4 linked regions of the Saccharomyces cerevisiae S288C genome follow. The gene in region 3 interacts genetically with the main gene of each other region. Each region holds a gene or a part of one and is shown on either strand. Other genes may lie near its edges.

What was found.
Region 1: mutations in SAT4 (region 3) and TAP42 together harm fitness more than expected from each alone (negative genetic interaction), as found in Saccharomyces cerevisiae (3 studies listed by BioGRID).
Region 2: mutations in SAT4 (region 3) and RTG3 together harm fitness more than expected from each alone (negative genetic interaction), as found in Saccharomyces cerevisiae (2 studies listed by BioGRID).
Region 4: mutations in SAT4 (region 3) and HOM3 together harm fitness more than expected from each alone (negative genetic interaction), as found in Saccharomyces cerevisiae (3 studies listed by BioGRID).

Annotation. Positions count from the first base shown.
Region 1 is NC_001145.3:325,478-330,052, reverse strand, and holds TAP42 (Tap42p), read right to left. Parts: upstream 2,572-4,575; coding exon 1,471-2,571; downstream 1-1,470. Other genes in the region: FAR8 (Far8p), read left to right, coding at 1-1,393; YMR027W (putative methyltransferase), read right to left, coding at 2,764-4,176. UniProt on the Saccharomyces cerevisiae protein: Involved in negative regulation of the TOR signaling pathway in response to type of available nitrogen source. Inhibitor of PP2A phosphatase SIT4, which results in inhibition of nuclear export of MSN2, due to lack of dephosphorylation by SIT4.
Region 2 is NC_001134.8:20,732-25,735, forward strand, and holds RTG3 (Rtg3p), read right to left. Parts: upstream 2,806-5,004; coding exon 1,345-2,805; downstream 1-1,344. Other genes in the region: SEA4 (Sea4p), read right to left, coding at 1-562; SFT2 (Sft2p), read left to right, coding at 3,367-4,014; ECM21 (Ecm21p), read right to left, coding at 4,215-5,004. UniProt on the Saccharomyces cerevisiae protein: Transcription factor that regulates CIT2 gene expression. Binds to two identical sites oriented as inverted repeats 28 bp apart in a regulatory upstream activation sequence element (UASR) in the CIT2 promoter. The core binding site is 5'-GGTCAC-3'.
Region 3 is NC_001135.5:125,455-130,781, reverse strand, and holds SAT4 (serine/threonine protein kinase SAT4), read right to left. Parts: upstream 2,313-5,327; coding exon 501-2,312; downstream 1-500. Other genes in the region: amphiphysin-like protein RVS161, read left to right, coding at 1-37; DFP3 (DUP240 family protein), read left to right, coding at 4,052-4,771. UniProt on the Saccharomyces cerevisiae protein: Promotes K(+) uptake, by the potassium transporter TRK1-TRK2, which leads to the subsequent cellular resistance to toxic cations such as Na(+), Li(+) and Ca(2+).
Region 4 is NC_001137.3:255,488-260,616, forward strand, and holds HOM3 (aspartate kinase), read right to left. Parts: upstream 2,472-5,129; coding exon 888-2,471; downstream 1-887. Other genes in the region: JHD1 ([Histone H3]-lysine-36 demethylase), read left to right, coding at 1-647; PIC2 (Cu/Pi carrier), read right to left, coding at 3,250-4,152. UniProt on the Saccharomyces cerevisiae protein: Phosphorylates aspartate, the first step in the biosynthesis of amino acids that derive from aspartate (the aspartate family of amino acids), including methioinine and threonine, the latter of which is a precursor to isoleucine.

The sequences.
Region 1 (4,575 bases), on a different chromosome or scaffold from region 3:
GAATCAAATACAATCGAAAGCTGTTTCTCCTGAAGGTGAAAAGGAAGAAAAACATGTGCCTGATTCATTACTGCAGTCTAAGCTAGCTGTTCAAGAAAATGTGAAGGAAATAATTTATTTGTTGAAAGGCCCTAACACGGTCAATCAGTTAGAGTCATTAAATAGCAGAGAAGCGGGTTCTGAATTGCACGATTTAGAGAAACTGAACGTGAATACTCCCAAGGAAGAGGGCAGTGCGAAGACAAATGGGATGGATATTTTAAATAATGCCCTCTTGGACACCAAACCCAATCCAAAGCAAGGTCCTTCAGAGTCACCATCACCAACCAAAGTGAAATCTTTGTTTAGCACAGCCAACAAGCGTGAAAATAATGAAACAATATCCAAGATACACTCGGAATTGTCGAAAGTCGACATTATCAGCTCCTACGGGGACTGTATGGCACTTTATGATGCAGACACCAAATCGTTAGAAATACACCAAGTGGACGCAAACTTGAATTCCAAACTCTTAAAGAAAATATCTTTAGGGCAAGATAGCGACATTATGAAATTTTTCTGGGTTTCGACGTCCAAACTCCTTGTTATTGAAAAGAGTTTCCATTTGAAATTGTTCTCTATTTCTAGCGCATCTTTGATCTCAGATGTGGACCTATTACAAGACTCAGAACAGCCGTTTTCGTCTAGTGATATCATTAATATAGACTTCAAAAATAAATGGTTGTTGATAGCTAGTAAGAATAAATCTCAAATTAGAATCTGGGAATTGGACAATATAGAGGCTCCTGAGGATGTCCCAATTAACATAAAAGAAACATATGAAATAACACATGATAATGATGACGATGATAGTAATGATTCCACAAACATTCTGGATTGTATATTGGGTATAACAGAAAAATCCTTAATATTACTGTCTTCAAATCCATACCAGCTTACCATATATGATTTCGAGGGTAAGCTTCTACAAAAAATTGATTTGAAGATTGATACAATATTATCGGGTAAGCCAGAAGAAGAAGGTTACCATTTATTTTTGGATAGAAAAACTTCTAAGCTACTGATTCAGCTAAGCAATGAGAGATTATTGGTTTATTCTTTTGATAAGAAAAAAGTTGTACTGAAGGAACAATTGACTCCATCGTCAACACTACCAATACAACTCGATTTGAACGACAGCATAATCACCGTATCATATAGTAATGGAGACTTTGAGTTTAGGAATTTAGAAAACCTAAAACCATCCATCGACGAATTTGTCGTAGCAGACATCAACTTCTCGGAAAGAAAAGAGCCTGTGGTATTTTCTTCAAATCTGATTGTAGATTCTACGCCGGTGTTAATCACCGTGAATAAAAATAACGAAGTCCTTTTGCACAAGATTAAAATATAACTGATGTAGGCAGAAAAAAAAATAATATATGAATCTGTCTAATAGATACTTATGTGTACGTATATAGGTATTTTTTTCTATCCTCTATTCATGGTATTTCCGCTTCCCTTAGCATGACTTTCCTTGAACTCGTCCCACTCACGAGCTTTATAGGTTTCTCTATCTTGCCAGTCCATGTTTTCTTCATCTGGTGCTTGCTCTGGTTCTTCGCCACCTTGAAGAACGCGACCTTCTTCAAACTCTTTATCTAAAAATTCCTCCACCGACATTGTTGGTCCATATTGACCATATCCTCGCACTTTTTGTTGCAGTTGTTGCCTTTTGTCGACAAGCGTGAAGTTCCTCAAGACTTGACCTTTTTTGTCTATCAATGGCTTATTTATATTCTCTAATTTATCGGTAAAACCAGTGGAATCATCATCATTCGATTCTTTTCGTATCTGAGTACCTGATGATTTGACTTCATGTACGGAATTTTTGAGGAAATTAGAGAGCATTTCACATTCAAATAAATTCTGTTCAATGTTGTTAATCGTATCAAGACTAAAGTGATGTAACCTCATCAAATATAGTTCTCTTAGTAATTCATCATGGTCGTGGTCCTCGTCGTTGTTTTTTAATTCCAACTCCAAGCAGTGCAGTTTTGTGCTAATTTCTTTATTGCGCTGGAATAGCTCAATCTTTTCTTTTCTCTTCAACTGTGCTCCAGATAAATCTTTGTTATTTTTTGGTTGCGCGTACAATTCGCTAAGCTGAGGGTTATAACGATCCTTGAAGTTACCTAGTTTTTCACCAACCAAAGGATCTAGAAGCTTATAATCCTGCAATAGTGTCAGGAAATTAATGAAAGATTCAACGCTTTTTTTCAGGTAAATCAATTTCATAGACTGCCTTTGAGCAACATCCGAATCATTCGACTGTCGTCTTGATATCAATAATCCTAAATAGTAATCAACTGCTAGAAATTTGATGGAAGCAGTAGACACATCATCAATGGTCTCATTAGTACTGAACAATGCCAACCTGTCAAAAATTGCTGTTTTTAAGTTTAATAATTTCTTGATCGTGGAAAGTAATAATCCCTGGTACTCTGGTGAATCTTGCCTCAAAGATGTGTGTTCCAATTTTGTTGAGTATAAGCTAATAATATCGTTGAATTGTTCTGTTACTGACGCCATGTTTATGATCTCTCCTCGTTATTACTTTCTTCCTCTTCTTTCGCCATTGATTGTAATTTGTCCTTAGGAGCTTTCTTTTTTTTATCAGAAGTACATAAAATAAAAGGCACGTACTAAAAATCTATGTGCTTTTTTGGAACATTTCATAGGGAAAGTCATAAAGTAAAGTTATATAGAGAACTTATCATATTCTTATTTATGTATACCAGAGCAGAAACAAATGACTGCCCATTTACCGCTACAACACCACCAAGAACCACGGCCAGGATTTTCCTTTTCCCATTCTTGACTTAATTTCGCGTCTAGACCTTCAGGTAAAGCAACTTGTACATCGGCTTTACAGGTTCTCAAGCTCAATGATGTAATACCATTCGTAGCAAGAGGTCCGATAGCCGTTTCCCATTTAGTGGTGCGGGGCCATTTTCTGTCGCCAGTTAATTTTCTATAGTTTAGATCACCCTTAAAAATAACCAAATTGGATTTTTGCAAATCTTTGTGCAAAATGGATCCATGGTATTTGGTTTCGTTTGCGTCCAAATTCCAATAATCTAATTCCGTGGTCCAGAAAGAATCTTCGCGGAATTCTATCTTACCGCTAGAGACGAACTTTTCCATTTCACCAGCAAATAAATCAAGAGCTCTGGATTCCTTTGTCGAGGGTTCACCACTTGGGAAGAACTCACGATCTCTCAGGTCATGAACTAATATATCAAAATCTTTTAACATAACATCGCTAACCATGTATGGAATGTCTTTAGCGTGGAAAATACATTTGGTAGCCAAACCACTTTGTAACAGAAAAGCTGCCAACATCAAGTCAGCATACAATTCAAAGCCAGAATTGTCTAATACAAAATCAACACGAATTTCTCTGCTATTGGCATCGGCCCTGGCTTTGGTTAATACCTCCCATGCTTTCTCCGTGTCATTAACAACAATCTTGGACTCGGATGCAGCTCTTGCTTTCGCCCCTTGGATTGATTTAATGTCTTCTAACGTAGCGTTGGTCAATAAAGATAAATCAGTGGCATTGCCCCACAAAGAAATCTCAATAAACTCTTTAAAAAGAACTTTCAATATATCGTCAATCTCATTTCCTGGATTTTGCTTCATTTCTCTCAGCTGTGGTAACAGATTTTCATACCTTAACGCCAATTCCACGACACCATAAAACGAGGACTCAAAAGTTGACTGTTTAAGTCTGTTGAATATGTCAAATTTAGCCCATTCGCATTGGCGTTGGAAAAGAACATTTACTCTTCTATACAAGTAAACCTCCGAGAACAGCCACTCTACAGCCCCCCAATTGACTTCAGGGTGTTTCTTTAGATATTCATTGAACGAAAGCGGGACGTTGGCAATTTTGATCTCTTCTTCAGTAAAGGGTCTCAAAGGTACACGATCAATTATCTCCTGACGGAATTCCTTGAGCTCCTTTTTGATAACTTCACCTTGTTCGAACTTAGTGCCGTTACTCTTCTCCGTTTCTTGATGCTTACTTAAATCGTCTATAGCATTCTGAATGATAATGGGCCAACGGGTGCTAGCAGTGTATTCACCAAAAGTGCCCTTATCAATTGTCATAAATCTTCCAGGGATAGTCATCTCTTGTTATGTACTACCCACTACCGTAATATCCTTTTTTTCCGTTTACACAAGGACCACAATGAACCACTAAATTTTAAAGAGTTCAAATGAAGTTTTATTCTTTTAATATGAAGGGAATAGTTGTATTTCTACTTCCGGGCAGTTATACTATCACGTTGCACCTGGGGCCTCTATGTCTGAGAGGTGTGTGGGTTATACTAAGAAATCATCGATGTGGACGATTACCGTCACTGGCAATGGTAACCTCCAATTCAGTCACTGGAGAAGAGAGGTACAATTTAGTGTGGAGTCATCCTTTCGTCTCATTCAGATGCTTAAGAGCAATGCTTACCGCAGAATCACATTAGGTAGAGAAACGGTTTTGCATGAAGGCTCCAGAAGAAGCAAGGGAATAAG
Region 2 (5,004 bases), on a different chromosome or scaffold from region 3:
GCGAATCATCATGATAATTCATGTCCCAAATTTGTAAAGATGAATCATGCTTATTTCTGTCAAGACCCATTGCTATAAGACCATTCGTATTTATTCCCAGAGAGTTTATACACCGCTGCTTCTTTGCTCGTACACGTATATCATAATTGGTTTCTGAAACAGGGTACCCTTGGGTATCCTTTAAATTTGAGACAGATCCAACTATATTTTCCGCCTGAGCTGCCTTACCACCGCTGGCATTTGTCATAGAAGTCTCGTTATTGGCATTTAAGCCCACTGGCGCATGGCTCGCTGGCGATGAGGAATTTTGTCCAGAGATATTAAAAATCCTTAAATATCCATTCTTTTCACCAACTCCAATCATACCAATTTCTGATTCTGAATAGTCTAAGCAGGTGATACTGCCGAAGTCTTTCACAGTGTGTAATTTAATAATTGATTCATCAGATTCATTTTCCGGATCCACTTTATAGTGGGTCACTTCATCTCTTGTAGGGTTCACTGAAAGATAATCAATCAAATTATCATATGACCAATGGGTCACTTTTTTGATGAGACCCATGTTTATTCTTCTATACGTTCGTGATACTGCACTTACGACTACCAGTAACATCAGAATAACCATAGAGCTTATGCTATCTTGAAATATATCATCGCCGTAAAGTATGATGTGTAGCGCATTAGTCTTCTGCATTCATATTATCAGTGGTATACCGTTTGGTATATGCTTTCCAATCATGAAGTGTTGGCTCTACTCTATATAAATTCGACATCCATTGATTTTCTCAATAAATGAGTTACCCAAGTAAGCTTTCCATTGATACAAGTGATCTACATTCTTGCGACGCCAAATTATAAAGCACTAAAAATCATATCATACCCAATTGCGGGCAGCACATGTATATATTATACACTACTTATAACTAACCTTCTTCATATATAACAATATGCCTGATAATACTAATGCATTTAAATCATATCATGAAAGAAAATTACATGGGTTTTATTGACATAATTGCATTTAGAATACATAAAATTCTAAAGAATTAATATATCCAAAGTATTAGACATAACCAAGAATAATAGTGAATAATTTTAGATTTTGTTACATATAATTCTGCTTGCCTATCTCTTCCACTCTTTTCAAAACGTTGCATGTAAGCGTTACTAATATTCCGCTTTATTTTGTTGCAATTCCTAATTTTTTCATTACATTATCTTGCGAGTACGGAAGCGATTAACGTTCTCCCAATAGAAGGAACAAACATAGATATTGAAGTTTTACTGCTTTTGCTTACCTGACCTTTTTCAAATTTAATTTTTTCCCGCTAATAAGACCATAAACTACCCCGAACCAAATTCTAAAAGATAGTCAGCTGGATTAGAGTTGTCATCTCCAAACATTAATTTTGCATTATCTTCGGCTTCAATCAAATCGCCTGATAAGAACTCCTTTAATTCTTCATGAATGTTTGTATGTGGATGACTCTCCATAGTGCCAGCATGATTGTGGTTACCGACCGAATCATATAACGGTGGCTCCCAATTGTGCAATTCAGCCTTACTATTTTGTTCATTCATCAAAGCATTTGGGACAGATCTAATATCTATAATTCTTTCCTCACTATTCTCGCTATTATTTTGCCCCGAACTGGCATGGTGGTTATTGGTAAAAGGAGATAATGCTGCGACAGAACTTTTCTTCTCTTCCAATTCTTTTATCTTCGCCAATAACGCCTTCTTTTTTCGTGCTTGTATTTCTAAAATTTCGGCCAGGTATTGTAAATATTCGACCGTTCTATCCAAAATGATACCCTTATTTGGTTTGATTTGTTTACCTAGGTCATCGTAATTCAATAAAGATGGTGGAACCAACTGGCCGAGTTCTTTTATCTTTTGCTTTATTAATTCTCTTCTTCTCCTTTCGACGGCATTATGAAACTCTCTTTTGCGCCTCAGTTTCTCATCAGAAGTTAACCCGCCTAAAATCTTTGGAACACTTCCAGGTCCTATATTTTCAGTCATATTGCTACTTATTGAAGTGTGTCTTGTTCTGGGTGTGTTTATGCTACCATGCCTAAAAGAAGATGAAAGGAAACTTCCTGCACGAAATGACGATGATGGTGATCTTACCTTTGGGGAATATGTGGAAGATACGGATGCTGGGCCCAAGCTTTGTGGATTATAAGAAAATGATGATGAATATGTGTTTGGTGTCATCATATCAGAATTGATGCTAGAAGATAAAGAGGAGCTCAAATCATCAGTTAAGTTATACATTGTGTCATCGGTGCCATGCTGAAATAAAAAGTCATGTGGTAACTCAGCTTTTAAGCCTTCTTGTTGCTGTAATGGAGTATTCATTGCTCTATCCACAGGTGAGTCGTAAGCCATAGAATAAGATGATCTCAAGGGACCCTGCCCTATGGAAGATATGGAATTTTGAGTGACAGGTCTACCGCCTTGGCTTGTTCTAAACATATCATCCAGGTAAGACGATTGCGATTCTGCTTCCTCATATATGGTCGAAGCTGTAGGAGTTTGTGAATTGGACCTCGCTTGACTGCCCATTAAGTTATTATTATCGTTAGAGTTGTGCGTATTGATGTATGAGAGTTTTTCATGCTGTTGGGCAGGAGTCTCACCACCTGGGTAGGCACTTCCGTGTATCTTGTAATCATCATTGTGGTGTGGAGTGGGTGTCACTAACGAAAAATCTAAAGTTTCCTGGAGGACTTTTGTCTGGTTCATTAATTCGTCCAGTAGACGTTGGTTCTCAGCCTCACTTTCGTTATTGTTCATCATTCTTCACTTATTTAAGAAGTAGGTTCGCCTGACAAAAAATAAGAGTATTCTATTAAAGGATACTTGTCAACTAAGTAATGTGAATGCAGTAATGTCGTTTTTGTTATCTTATATATGCTCACGTAAGACAGAAATTCGGATTGTGAAAAATTCCTTGATGATTCCGTGCAGCCTCTAGCCAAAATAGCAACTGCGAGTAAAAAATAATGTACTAACCTGCAGTAATATTGGAGATCCTACTGTCCGGACCGAGTAGTACAATTGTTAGTTTCTGTTGCTCATAAGAAGGCTTTTCTAATCACCATGGCTTTATTATTTCAAAAGTAACTTGCGAAGAGTCACATCCCGCGGAACGGCCCGCAATCGTGACCCGGCAAAAGGCGATTGTAATGAAGAGGGAGTATTGGTCAAGACTTGTACTATACTGAAATAGGAAGAAGATTGAATAAATTTGCATTCTAATTGCGTTCGGTAGTTTAGAGTAGGACTTAGATTACCTGTATTGTCTGCAGTTGCGTTTTTTTTTTTTGCTGGTAAAAAAAAAGAACAAGTGTGGAGAATATGAGCGAGGAACCACCTTCTGACCAGGTCAATAGTCTCCGTGACTCATTGAATCGATGGAATCAAACAAGACAGCAGAACTCGCAGGGTTTTAATGAATCTGCGAAGACATTGTTCTCAAGCTGGGCGGATTCTCTCAATACCAGGGCCCAGGATATATATCAGACGTTGCCTGTATCTAGACAGGACTTGGTGCAAGACCAGGAGCCGTCGTGGTTCCAATTGTCAAGAACGGAAAGAATGGTACTTTTTGTCTGTTTTCTTTTGGGTGCAACAGCCTGTTTCACTCTTTGTACTTTCCTTTTCCCCGTTCTAGCCGCTAAACCAAGAAAGTTTGGTTTACTATGGACAATGGGGTCCCTACTATTTGTTCTTGCGTTTGGGGTACTTATGGGACCACTCGCGTACTTAAAACATTTGACTGCAAGGGAAAGGCTGCCTTTTTCGATGTTCTTTTTCGCCACATGCTTCATGACGATTTATTTCGCAGCCTTTTCCAAGAACACGGTGCTGACTATTACATGTGCTCTTCTTGAATTAGTTGCCGTCATTTATTATGCTATTTCATATTTCCCATTCGGTGCAACAGGTTTGAGGATGTTAAGCTCTGCTGGTGTCAATTCGGCAAGAGGTGTTCTGCGCATCTGAATTATCATTCATAGTGCATATTGAATTGATTAGTTGAAGAAGAAAAATAATGTTTATGTTATAAGAAACAATAATAAAGAGATTTATAACCTAACCTAATTAAATAGCATGTAGTCAACAAAAAGGGAGTAAAACATGCAGTGGCTCTATATATATAATTATCGTAGAATAATTCAAAAAAAAATAAAAAACGAAAAAATTCATTCTTCATCACTCATCAAAGGCACTATTTCGTCATAACGCGGAGGCTCGTTACCATGAGAGAGTAGCGAATCTGCGGAGCTCGAACTTACTATTCCTTCTTGTTCTTCATCATCTTTTACATTCGCTAAAGTGTAACCCTTTTTGAAAAATTCGTTCTGTTTGTCCTTAGAGTTTTCAGTGGTAGCGTTTGGAATCCTCACAGTACCATTTGCTTGTGATAAGCCATTTGTTGGTGATGAATTGTGAGATCTATTGACGGGCGATGGAGTGCTCAATAATTTATCGAGATTATTGAATCTTGACCTGTCATTCACTGACGTTGCTCTTGCTCTAGCAACACCTTGGCCACTATTGCCCGAAACAAATGCGGAATTCGAAATACTGCCGTTCATGGCATTGGCATTTGAAATACTGTTCCGATTAACATTTGGCACACCGGCATCATCGCTGTATCCGGATGGCCCACTAACTGACGTAGTTCTTGATAAGTTCAATTGTTGAATAGATAGTAAATCAGGGTCATACGAGGCCATGATATTAGGTGATCCCATCGGTGAGACAATGGGAGAAGCTGGAACGGATATGGCTTCTTCAAAAGTTGGCGGAGGTGGACATGTGTTACCAAAAAAGTCGCTGTTCATACTTAGAGGAACCTGGTTGCCTTTGCCTTCCATTGTGGCCATATCATAAGTGGGTAACTCCATATTACCACTGTTGCACTGTTCAGACACCAGGAATATGGGCGTATCGATTAGAACCTCATAATGTCTTAATTTGGACGGACAC
Region 3 (5,327 bases):
GACAAGCCTAGATATTTGTGCGCTCGGGATAAAATAAATTAATGCTTTTGCCTTTAGTTTTTTACGGTCATTTATGTTTCTTTCATTTAAATTAACAGACCTAAATAGCACTATAATTTACTATCTGCTCTATCTGACCAACCGACTCTTTTTAAGAAAGCAATTAAAAAGCGATAATAACCGCGGGCATGTGTTTTTGTTAACATGAACACAATAAACGTAAGAATGTCTAGCAATAAATTCAAAATTATTATCTTTTTTTTTTTTATTGTTATGTACTATTTTTTTTTTTAAATAAGGTTACAATTCTTTTTTAATTAATGGGATTTACCAATTTGAACGTGATCCGTAATCAGCCAAACGGGATATAAAAGTAGAACAATAGAAGCGAGGAATAAGATACGAATGCCGGATAACAAAGCATTCCTTAGTGTACTAGATTAAGTAAAAAATACCGAATTGTTCCAAAATATCGTGATATTTGAAAGTGAAGTACTCGTTTATTTCAATGCGCGCCCATTATGGCAGCATTTTATCTCCCTTCCCCATTCACTGTTCAAAATTTGTTTCCCGTTAATTCTTCTGTACGGAACGGGATCTAACATCGAATATATAACATTCCTACACCTGGCTCTTTTTAAACTTTCGATTGGCTCATAGCCTCCCTTTTCCTTACGTCCTTTTAAATAATTCATATAAAATGGATCGTCTTTTTCAGCAGAACTCCACAATTGTCTACCAGTTCTCATTGCCATATAAATGACACCACATGCCCATATATCTACGGGTCTTGGATCAAACTCTTCTTTGATATATTCCTCTGGGGCGATGTACGGCGATGAACCGCAAACGCCTCCACTAAGGTGAATATTTTTTTCCCATGCCATCTTGAAACATTCGCTGTTACCAAAGTCTGTAATTTTTAGCACACCATCGTGCGTAAGCAGTAAGTTCTCAGGCTTCAAATCTCTATGACAAACACCCATTTCATGCATATAAACAACACCTCTAATAAGCTGCTTGAAGAAACAATCTGCTTCCATATATTCTAATTTTCCGGCGGCAACGACCAAAGTGAATAGATCGCCACCTGCACAATATTCCATTACTTCACAGTACTCGCCTTTGGCATCTTGGAAAAGATCTAGTGTAGTAACAATATTTGTATGGTGTAATGAAGAAGAAATGCAAAATTCAGAAGTCAACCTCTTAGAATACTTTTCTGCTGATTCGGATGTTCTACGCTTGAACTCTTTCACTGCATAAAGCTTTTCACTTTTATTACCATCTTGAGAAGAAACATTTTTCTTTTGACATATTCTTACTACACCAAAAGCACCTTTACCAAGGACTTCTTGACAGCGACCATACTTTTCGGCAAAACATTGCCTATCTTTTTTAGTAGTAGTGATATTATGCGTATTATTTTTGGAATCTTTTTGATCTGACCTGTATATATCCCTTTCAGGACAATTTAAAGCGCCACTTGTGGGAGCGCCTTCTGGATATTTATCATCCATATCCACGACCTGCTTCATGAAGCCTGCAAAAAGAGTAGGAGGATTCTTGTTGGATTTTAAAGTCGTCTTTGGATCCATTATTATATCAGGGACAGCAGATTTTGCCTCACCACGTAATTTGCTCGCACCAACCATGTTTTTAATCATTGTGCTTAGCTTTTCTTGTCTCTTAGCATTTTTTAAGTGATGTTCATGGGTACCATCTTTATGCACAAGAAACCTCCCACAAATAGGTGCACTTGTATTGGTTATCTTATTTACATTATTAATATTTGAAGCAGTGGGAGTAGGCGCGGGTGTAATAGCAGTATTGCTGTTACTATGATGAGAGAACTTTGGGCTCAAACTTTTGGAGCTAATATTTATGGCTGATGTGGGTGATAAGGATAAAGCTGATACTGACGAAGTTAAAGAAGCAGCTGATGATGACTTAGAGGTGTTAATATCAATATGGTTGTTTAATGATGCGGATGAACTAGAGTGCGATGGTGATGCCGACTGGTAATATTCGGGCATATACATGCCCGGTTTACTCACACCTGCAGTATTAGAAGGATTAGAAACTACCCTAGGAGTAGCAGTGGTTGGGGTATGTAAACCAAATTTGGCTGATTTAGACGCCGATGGAACGTTTGTGTTTATATTAGAAGGTGGCTGGATATTCGATGAGGCCTTTCCCTGCCTAGATGATCTTGAACCGCTTCTAAAAAGTTGCATAACTTTAGAAGATAGCGCATGTTTCCTTGGAGTTTGCTGAGGAATAGCGGCATTATTATCATTCATACCAGTCATATATTTGAGGGGTAATGTCGAAATAAAATAAAATCTGATTACTTTTTTTTTGATTACAGGGAATAGTAGTCACAATACTTACTACTAGTTAATATCTAGCGGTAAATGGAGAGTAAAAAAAGGTTGAGAGCCTAATATTAGAAAGCTACCTTAAGCTTTCCAGTTTTTATTTGTAACTTAAAAACGCTTAAAGGCTTAGTACAACTTATTGAACAGGACTTTGAAAGTCCAAATTTTATTCGATAATGTTAAAGTGAATAACAACAACCCAGCAATAACAACAACAACAACAACACAACAGGTTATAACGAAACCGACAGGAAATCGTCAAAAAAAAAAAATGATAAAAAATTCTTAAAATCGAAACTCCAAGTAAAGGTCTATATTAGGGTTTAATAAACTTTTGCTAAAAAAAATTGCCGAATATCTCTATAAAGTAGTATATTTTCTTCTCCGTTTCCTCTTCCCTCTTTAAAAGCTGTAATATTATATATACTATTTGTATAGCGGAAAATGCGTGAGATGGCAAGAGCTCGGCCTGTTAACATATTAGCACGGGGAGGCCGATGTTGATTTGATGAAATGACGTGCCAGGTGATTTTTCCATTCGCCATGCCGGGGGTTGAGAAAAAATTTTTTCTCCGTCGGAGATAAAAAAAAAAAAAGAAAAGAAAAATTAACGACCCCAGTGAGGGTTGAACTCACGATCTTGCGATTAACAGTCGCACGCCTTAACCAACTTGGCCATGGAGTCATTTTATCTTGTGTCACTTTTACAGAAAAAGTATTACTAATATATGTTGAAAATTTTCCAACTACCCTTCGAGTATGATTTTACAACTGCGTCAAAGAAACCATGCAAAACAGTTGACTAATATCGCAACTGTTTTTTTTTCTCATTGCCTTTGAAAGAATGGAACACTCCTCACCACGAGGTTCTAAAAACTATACCAACCACAGTTTGGACGTACATCTGAAGATGGCATCCAATAGCAGCGGTATTCATTTGTGCGGGCTGGATTGAAAAAAGCATCACAATTATTGGGGCGTTTATTGTAGTCTTTGAACCGAGATAATCCAGGTGTTAAATATTGGTTGGATATGCATGCAAAATTTTCAGCAAAAACGATGGAAGCAGAACAAACAGTGCTTATCTTTGCTTCTGCTCTTGTGTAAGTCTAAAGGACAATATCTTTGTTATTAAGCACTCTAGCTGCCCACTGTATAAACAGAACTTTTGACAAAAAGTCTAGCCAGCGATGATATAATTTGCCTGCACAAAGAGTTTACTATTAGTAGCACAACTAAGTCATCGAAACGCTTTTAGTGGACAGATCTAAAGTTACAAATATTTAGGTATGCGTAAAAGGGTAATTAACCTAGTATCAAATGAGTCGAAGCCCCGACCGCGCCCAGAAGAAAAGCCATTATCATTTAGGTGACGCCTTGTTCTAAGGCTTAGTTAATAATATTCCTTTCAACCAAACAATGACCTTCCAAGGTGTTCAGTAAGTGGCTCTCATTTTAAGTTAGTTGGGTATTATACGCCTTGTATCCGGGGCTATGCTTAGGTTAAATAAGAATACTGCTTGAATAGCTCAAGTTTACAAAATAATTTAAAAAGAGTTTATGAACTTCAATAAAACTTCGAACCTGAAAATGTAAGTCTGTGTTCTGTTTATATACACCAGTCGGTTGTCTATACCATATCAAGACAAGAAACAAAACTCCGTATCTGCATGCAGCCTCATTTAGACAACAACAGTAATAATGACGATGTCAAATTGGATACATTAGGGGAACAAAATGTGTTATCATCCGCAGAAAATATCACTTTACCTGAAGACACCTTTAAATCATATATGACCTACTTGCTGTACGAGATGGCTCATTACAAACCGATGATATTTTCCTTCTTGGCACTTTCAGTTTCAATTTTAATAGTTGTGATCTTTCATAATGTTAAAGCTTGTGATGTCGTTTTTGGTTTTTCAATTTTCGTCACTTCTATTTTGTTTTTGTCTACGTTGATTCCGTTTAATGTGTATATCTCGGATGAGGGTTTCAGAATTAAGCTTTTGCTGGAAGTTATCACCCACAGGCCAGCGGTAAAGGGAAAAGAATGGAGAGCAATCACAGACAATATGAATCAATATTTACTTGATAATGGTTTATGGAGTACTCGCTATTACTTTTATAGTAGTGAAAGATGCTACAAATTCTTCAGATTTCTTGTGAAAGAAAAACCCCCAGGTGTGAATGTAAATTCATCGGTAAAGGACGCCACAAGTACGCAGATAGATGCACCAGCAAATGAGGCTTCAAATGAGGTAATAAAATGCTTTAGTTTCAGTTCTGACCCAATATTCGAAGCATACTTTGTTAAAGCAGTAGAAGTTGAGAAACAAGCACAACAGGAATATTGGAGAAAGCAATATCCTGACGCCGATATACCATGAAATATAAATCTTGATAATTTTATTTAGCACTTATACTGAGCGATGTACCAAACCGATTCTAAATTCACAATTCATAATGGAACTTAATCGTTTATACAGTATAAACAAGTAGAAGTATTTTGACAGAGATTAATAAATTTGTGCCACACGAAGGGGCTTTCTCACAGCTAATAATATTGTACAAACTAAAGGATAGAATATGCTGTGGTGCAAGTTGGGTGCACATTAACGTATTGTCGTGCATTCCCTATCATTTTTAAGGGAAGGAAATTAATTCTAATGGCTAGTTACTTACTCTCAGGACTCCATAATTAACATGTAGCAACTGAAAAAAGAAATTTTGCTGTGAATGACTTGTGCTCAAGATAAGCTTCTTTTTCTGAAGGTTTGTTTCTTATTGCGAGCACTTTTTTCTGTATATAATGTAACAGTGAAGAGCAGCATCTATATGTTAAAGTGCTTCATGTATGGTTAAGCAGGCTTTGCGGCTAAAAAAAAAGGAATGCTTATTACCCTTTTTTCCATACTTTTGTAGCTACCTAGTTTCTTTCTCGAA
Region 4 (5,129 bases), on a different chromosome or scaffold from region 3:
AGAAGGCGGAGGAGAATGACCCCAAGCCAAAAGTGACCAAATATATTTTGATGTCTGTAAAGGATGCTTATACGGATTTTCATTTGGATTTTGCCGGTACCTCTGTTTATTATAACGTTATCTCAGGACAGAAGAAGTTTTTATTATTTCCACCTACCCAATCAAACATAGATAAGTATATTGAGTGGTCTTTAAAAGAAGACCAAAATAGTGTTTTCCTCGGTGATATTCTTGAGGATGGTATTGCGATGGAATTAGATGCTGGTGATTTGTTTATGATTCCAGCTGGATATATTCATGCAGTTTATACACCAGTAGACTCTTTGGTATTTGGAGGCAACTTTTTAACCATCCGTGATTTGGAGACACACCTTAAAATTGTGGAAATTGAAAAGTTAACAAAGGTTCCTAGAAGATTTACCTTCCCGAAGTTTGATCAAGTGATGGGTAAATTATGCGAGTATCTTGCGCTTGATAAAAATAAAATCACTAGTGATGTCAGTGATGGGGATTTGCTTTCCAGGACCACTAATTGCGCAATTCAATCACTTCATGCATACGTTATAAAACCTGAAGTTAAGTACAAGCCGTTAAATTTCACTTCAAAGAAGCATTTAGCGAAAGCTTTAGCCGATCTTATTTCGTAAAATTTCTTCTTGTCCGCCACGTTCTTGTATCTTTTATTTCATCCTATGCTCTCGATGAATGAGATCTACTTTAGCAATTGATACAGTATAACCCTGACATTACATTTAGGGAATAATCGCCCCAATATAGGTTACAAAACATTAATATATATGTAAATATATGTGCGCGTATATATATATATATATATATATAAAGGGAAAATTAATATTCTATCATTAAAGTGAAGAAGAAAGGTGGATTTAAATTCCAAGTCTTTTCAATTGTTCTAAACGTTCATCAATGGCATGTTCAAATTGGTTTGAAGTATTTGTCCGCTCACTTAGTAACTTGGCATGAATACATTGTAGCGCTTTTATGGAGTCAGATTCATTGATAACGCAGGATATGTTTATTTCATTTGCCCCTTGAGAAATCATTTCAATGTTGATGCCTTCTTCAGCAAGAGTAGTAAACATGGTACCAGCAATGCCGATGTATTGTTTCATATGTTTACCAACTAATGAAACAATAGACAACTTCTTTGTGATATCAACAGAACCTAAAATTCTCAATTTTTCCTCAGCTTGTCTCAGAGATTTTAATGAGTCTGCATCTGGAATGGGCAAAGCCATCGAAACATGAACTTCAGAAGTAGATATTAAATCTACGACTAACTTGTACTTATCCAGGATGGTAAATATTTGAGCTAGGAAACCATGGGATAGGGTTTTCTTATTGGAATGAATGTTGATGACGAAAATGTCATTTTTGGTGGTGATAGCAGTGGCACCTCTCTTTCTCTTTTCATAGAAAGATGAGGATAAGTTCTCAGGAGGATGTGGTGGAGTAGATTCACCCTTCTTTGCTACATTATCTGGGTAGATAATGGTACCGTTACCTAATGGATTTTGAACATTCTTGATTCTAATAGGAATCTTAGCCCTAATAACTTGTTCCATCGTAAAAGGATGTATAACTTCGGAACCATAATATGTTAATTCAGAAGCTTCTTCTGGAGTAACACTGTCTAGCAAACGTGCTTCAGGAACCTTACGAGGATCAGCAGTAAATATACCATCAACTTCCTTCCAAACTTGTAGTTCATCAGCATTTACAGCAACTGCTATCAAAGCGGCACATAAATCGGTATAGCCACGACCAACACCATTCAGAAGACCAGTTGGAACTAAACCAAAAAACCCTGTAAAGACTGGAACGATACGCTCTTTAGCACTTACAAAGGGGGCCAATTTTTCTTTCAATGCTTGAACCAGGAAAGTGTAGAAACTGTTATCCAAAGCGCTGGCACTGAAATCAGAGGGAACAATGTGGCTCAAATCCACATATTTGGCCTTACAGCCACGGTCATTACATAAAGCAGTCATGAACAAACAACTCAACTTCTCACCACATGACATCACCAGATCTACTGTACGTGAACTCACTTCACCCAAAACTTTTGAAGCATTTAAATATTTCTTGACCAGTTCAAGTTCTTTATTGGTATCATCCACTAACTTGGCTTGCAAGGCAGGATTGAGAATGAAGCGGTCGGCATTATCGATATGGTCTTGTCTGATAACTTCGATAATGTCTTGAAATTCAGATTCTTGCGAAGCCAAATCACAACATTTCAAAAGACGAGAAGTGGTACCTTCAGCCTTGGTGTATGAAGAACGGGCGGAACAAACGACAGCGACATTATTGTTTGGGCCGTCAGGTTTAGAATAGTGCTTCACAATGTCATCCACTATTTGGACGGGAAATTTACCGACAGATGTACCACCGAACTTTTGCACGACCCAGTTCGAATGACTTGATGTAGGTTGGAAATCCATTGGCATGTAAAAGTTAAAAAAAATGAAAGCTTCTGTGATAAAATGCGATAGCTATGTGAGCTTAAGCGATGGAGAGAGTATTGGCTACACAAATATCCTTCAATGAGTAGAGCACTGTTAAAATAGAAATAAAATAATTATCCAGCAGTATTCTTATATATGGATATTATACATTATTTCTTCGAAGCTAAAAGAATCTCTGGAGAAGACTGCGTACGGAAAGTGAAAAAAAAAAAAAGTGATGATGAAATTTTCGTTTGCTAGTGAAAAAGAAAGAAAAGGTGAGTCATGGGCCTGAAAAATACACGTGGTTAGAGCCACAGTAGAGTAAAAAGTTGATATTAGGGGAGTTCTAGAAAGAAAAGGATCCTGTGAGACCAATGACAGTGATTGTAAATTGTGGGAGTGATATTTGATGTTACTATCAAATAAGGCCTCAGCCTCTGAATATGTTCACCTAAAAATTGTAGAAGATTCAATCGCGAGCGGCTGGCAAGTTTGGGCATGCATCGAGTATTGCCGTATATCGAAACTACCTTATAAATGTGTTTCTGATATGGCACTTTCAAAGTTTTCCTGGGCCTGTTCTTGGCTTGAGAAATTTGGCAATCATAACAAAACTCTTAGTATGAAAAGAAATTGTAGGACGAATATTTATTAAGACATATGCAAAGAAGAACAAACTATAAATGCCGGTCATTTACTAACTTTATGAAATCCTGTGTATACAATATTCCTCTAGCACAGAGTGTTTACGATAAACCTTGCCGATTGAATCGATCAGCTAACCGGTGGTTGGTAAGCCTACATAAGCCTTGAACGAATCGTAAATTAGCCATTGGAAACTTGTCAAAGTACCGATCATGACAATTCTCACCATTAACCCATTCCACAACCCAGTAAAGCCAATTTTTTGATATATTCTTTTAGAGGCTACAGACATGGACTCGTTGGCCTTTCTTTCGCTATTGATCTTGGAAACCATAACGTCTGCAGGATGTGAGACTGCAGCACATAATATACCTGCCAGATAACCACCTACAAAACTGACTGATATTTGCTGTAATGCGTTCATTTCTTCTTTCTTTTTAGGTAAAACACTGTATATTTTTTGAACAATTTTTTCGAATGAGGTAAACTTACACATTGTGTAAGGAATCTGTCTGCACCATAGGGGAACAATACCTTTATAAAATGCTTTCATACCTCCACTTTCTGCATACATTTTTTTCCATCCATCAACAACGTTATTGCAAAAGGGCGGCATAGTAGTCTGCTGTTTCACTTTAATAGCTTCAAATGGGCACAACATGATATCAGCGAGGAATTCAGCGGTCGCTGAGGCCATCAAGTACACAGTGACACCAGGACTTAACCAACTAGAATACAAATGCTTGAAATACTCATAACCACCATACTTACCTGCACCTTGTAGCGAATATCCGACGAATGTAGCACCAAACCCAGTGTATACTTTCTTCCAGCCTTCATTAGCTATAATCTTACGGAACCCTTGTAAGTTTGAAGTATACAACTTGGGATTGACCTGTAGCCTACATTTGACAAGATCTAGTGGAGTGATCGAAGAATGTGTTGGACCGCACGCAATTATACCACCTAAGGTACATGTGGCATAAAACTCTTTCGTATATAATTGGATTTTACGTGGTTGTTTATTGGACTCCATGCTTTACAACTGTCAATGAGTCCGTTCTCTTTTTCCCTTACTTTATTTTTTTAGAATTAAAACAATAACAGAACACTTTCAGTTAACAATGTGTCATTGACTGCCTGGAAAAAAAAATAAAATATCTATAAAACACAAGCAAAATGAAAGTATATTTGGTAGGTCCCGCTGTATTTATATCAAATGTAACAGGGTATGCAGAAAATCGATATATCCATTTTCCTTTTTATTAAGCAAAATGAAACTAAAAACAAGGAATAAACCTAAAAAAGATCTCCTTATTTCGCTAATACCCCTGAAGTCCAACTTTTGGTTAGCCGAGATCTTAGCCGAATGAGATTGTGAAATGCAACCCAAAGTGACCGTTGTTGCTAGCTAGCATATGAATGAATCTAAGAACTGGAAAGGCAAGTTAAGGGCCAAAAATAATGACTTGAATATTTTGCAGTATCTACGTTGAATTAAAGTATTCTTCGTAAGCGGTACTTTTCACTTGCTACTTGTCACCTTATTACCTATGTGCTGAGAGGGTAATGGTACGATGTTCCTTTTTGACACAATGCGTCTTTTCCCTATGCTGTAACAAAAAAAACAAAGGCCGAGGTTCGGATTTCTTAGCAGATCACGTGCTGACTTTTTGGAATACACCGTTAAAATTCTCACACGGTTAGTATTTACATTTTTTCAAGAATAGGGTTTTGCCGCTTACCTTGATATGCGGGCGATTTTGCGGGATTTCTGACATCTAATAACTTAGTAGTCATTGAAGGAACAAAGTTTTAGTCTTATTCGGATGTTTCCCTTCTTATTTTCGAAATGAAGCTTTTTGGAGAGATGGGGATAGGTGGCTTTTTGTGCCTTCCTCGAATGTCTAGCCGAGTCTTGCGATGGAAGGGCTAGACAGCATGTTTTAGAGATGTAGTAAGTTATATTATAATCATATTATAATTGCCTAAATATAGACGTATATCATATAC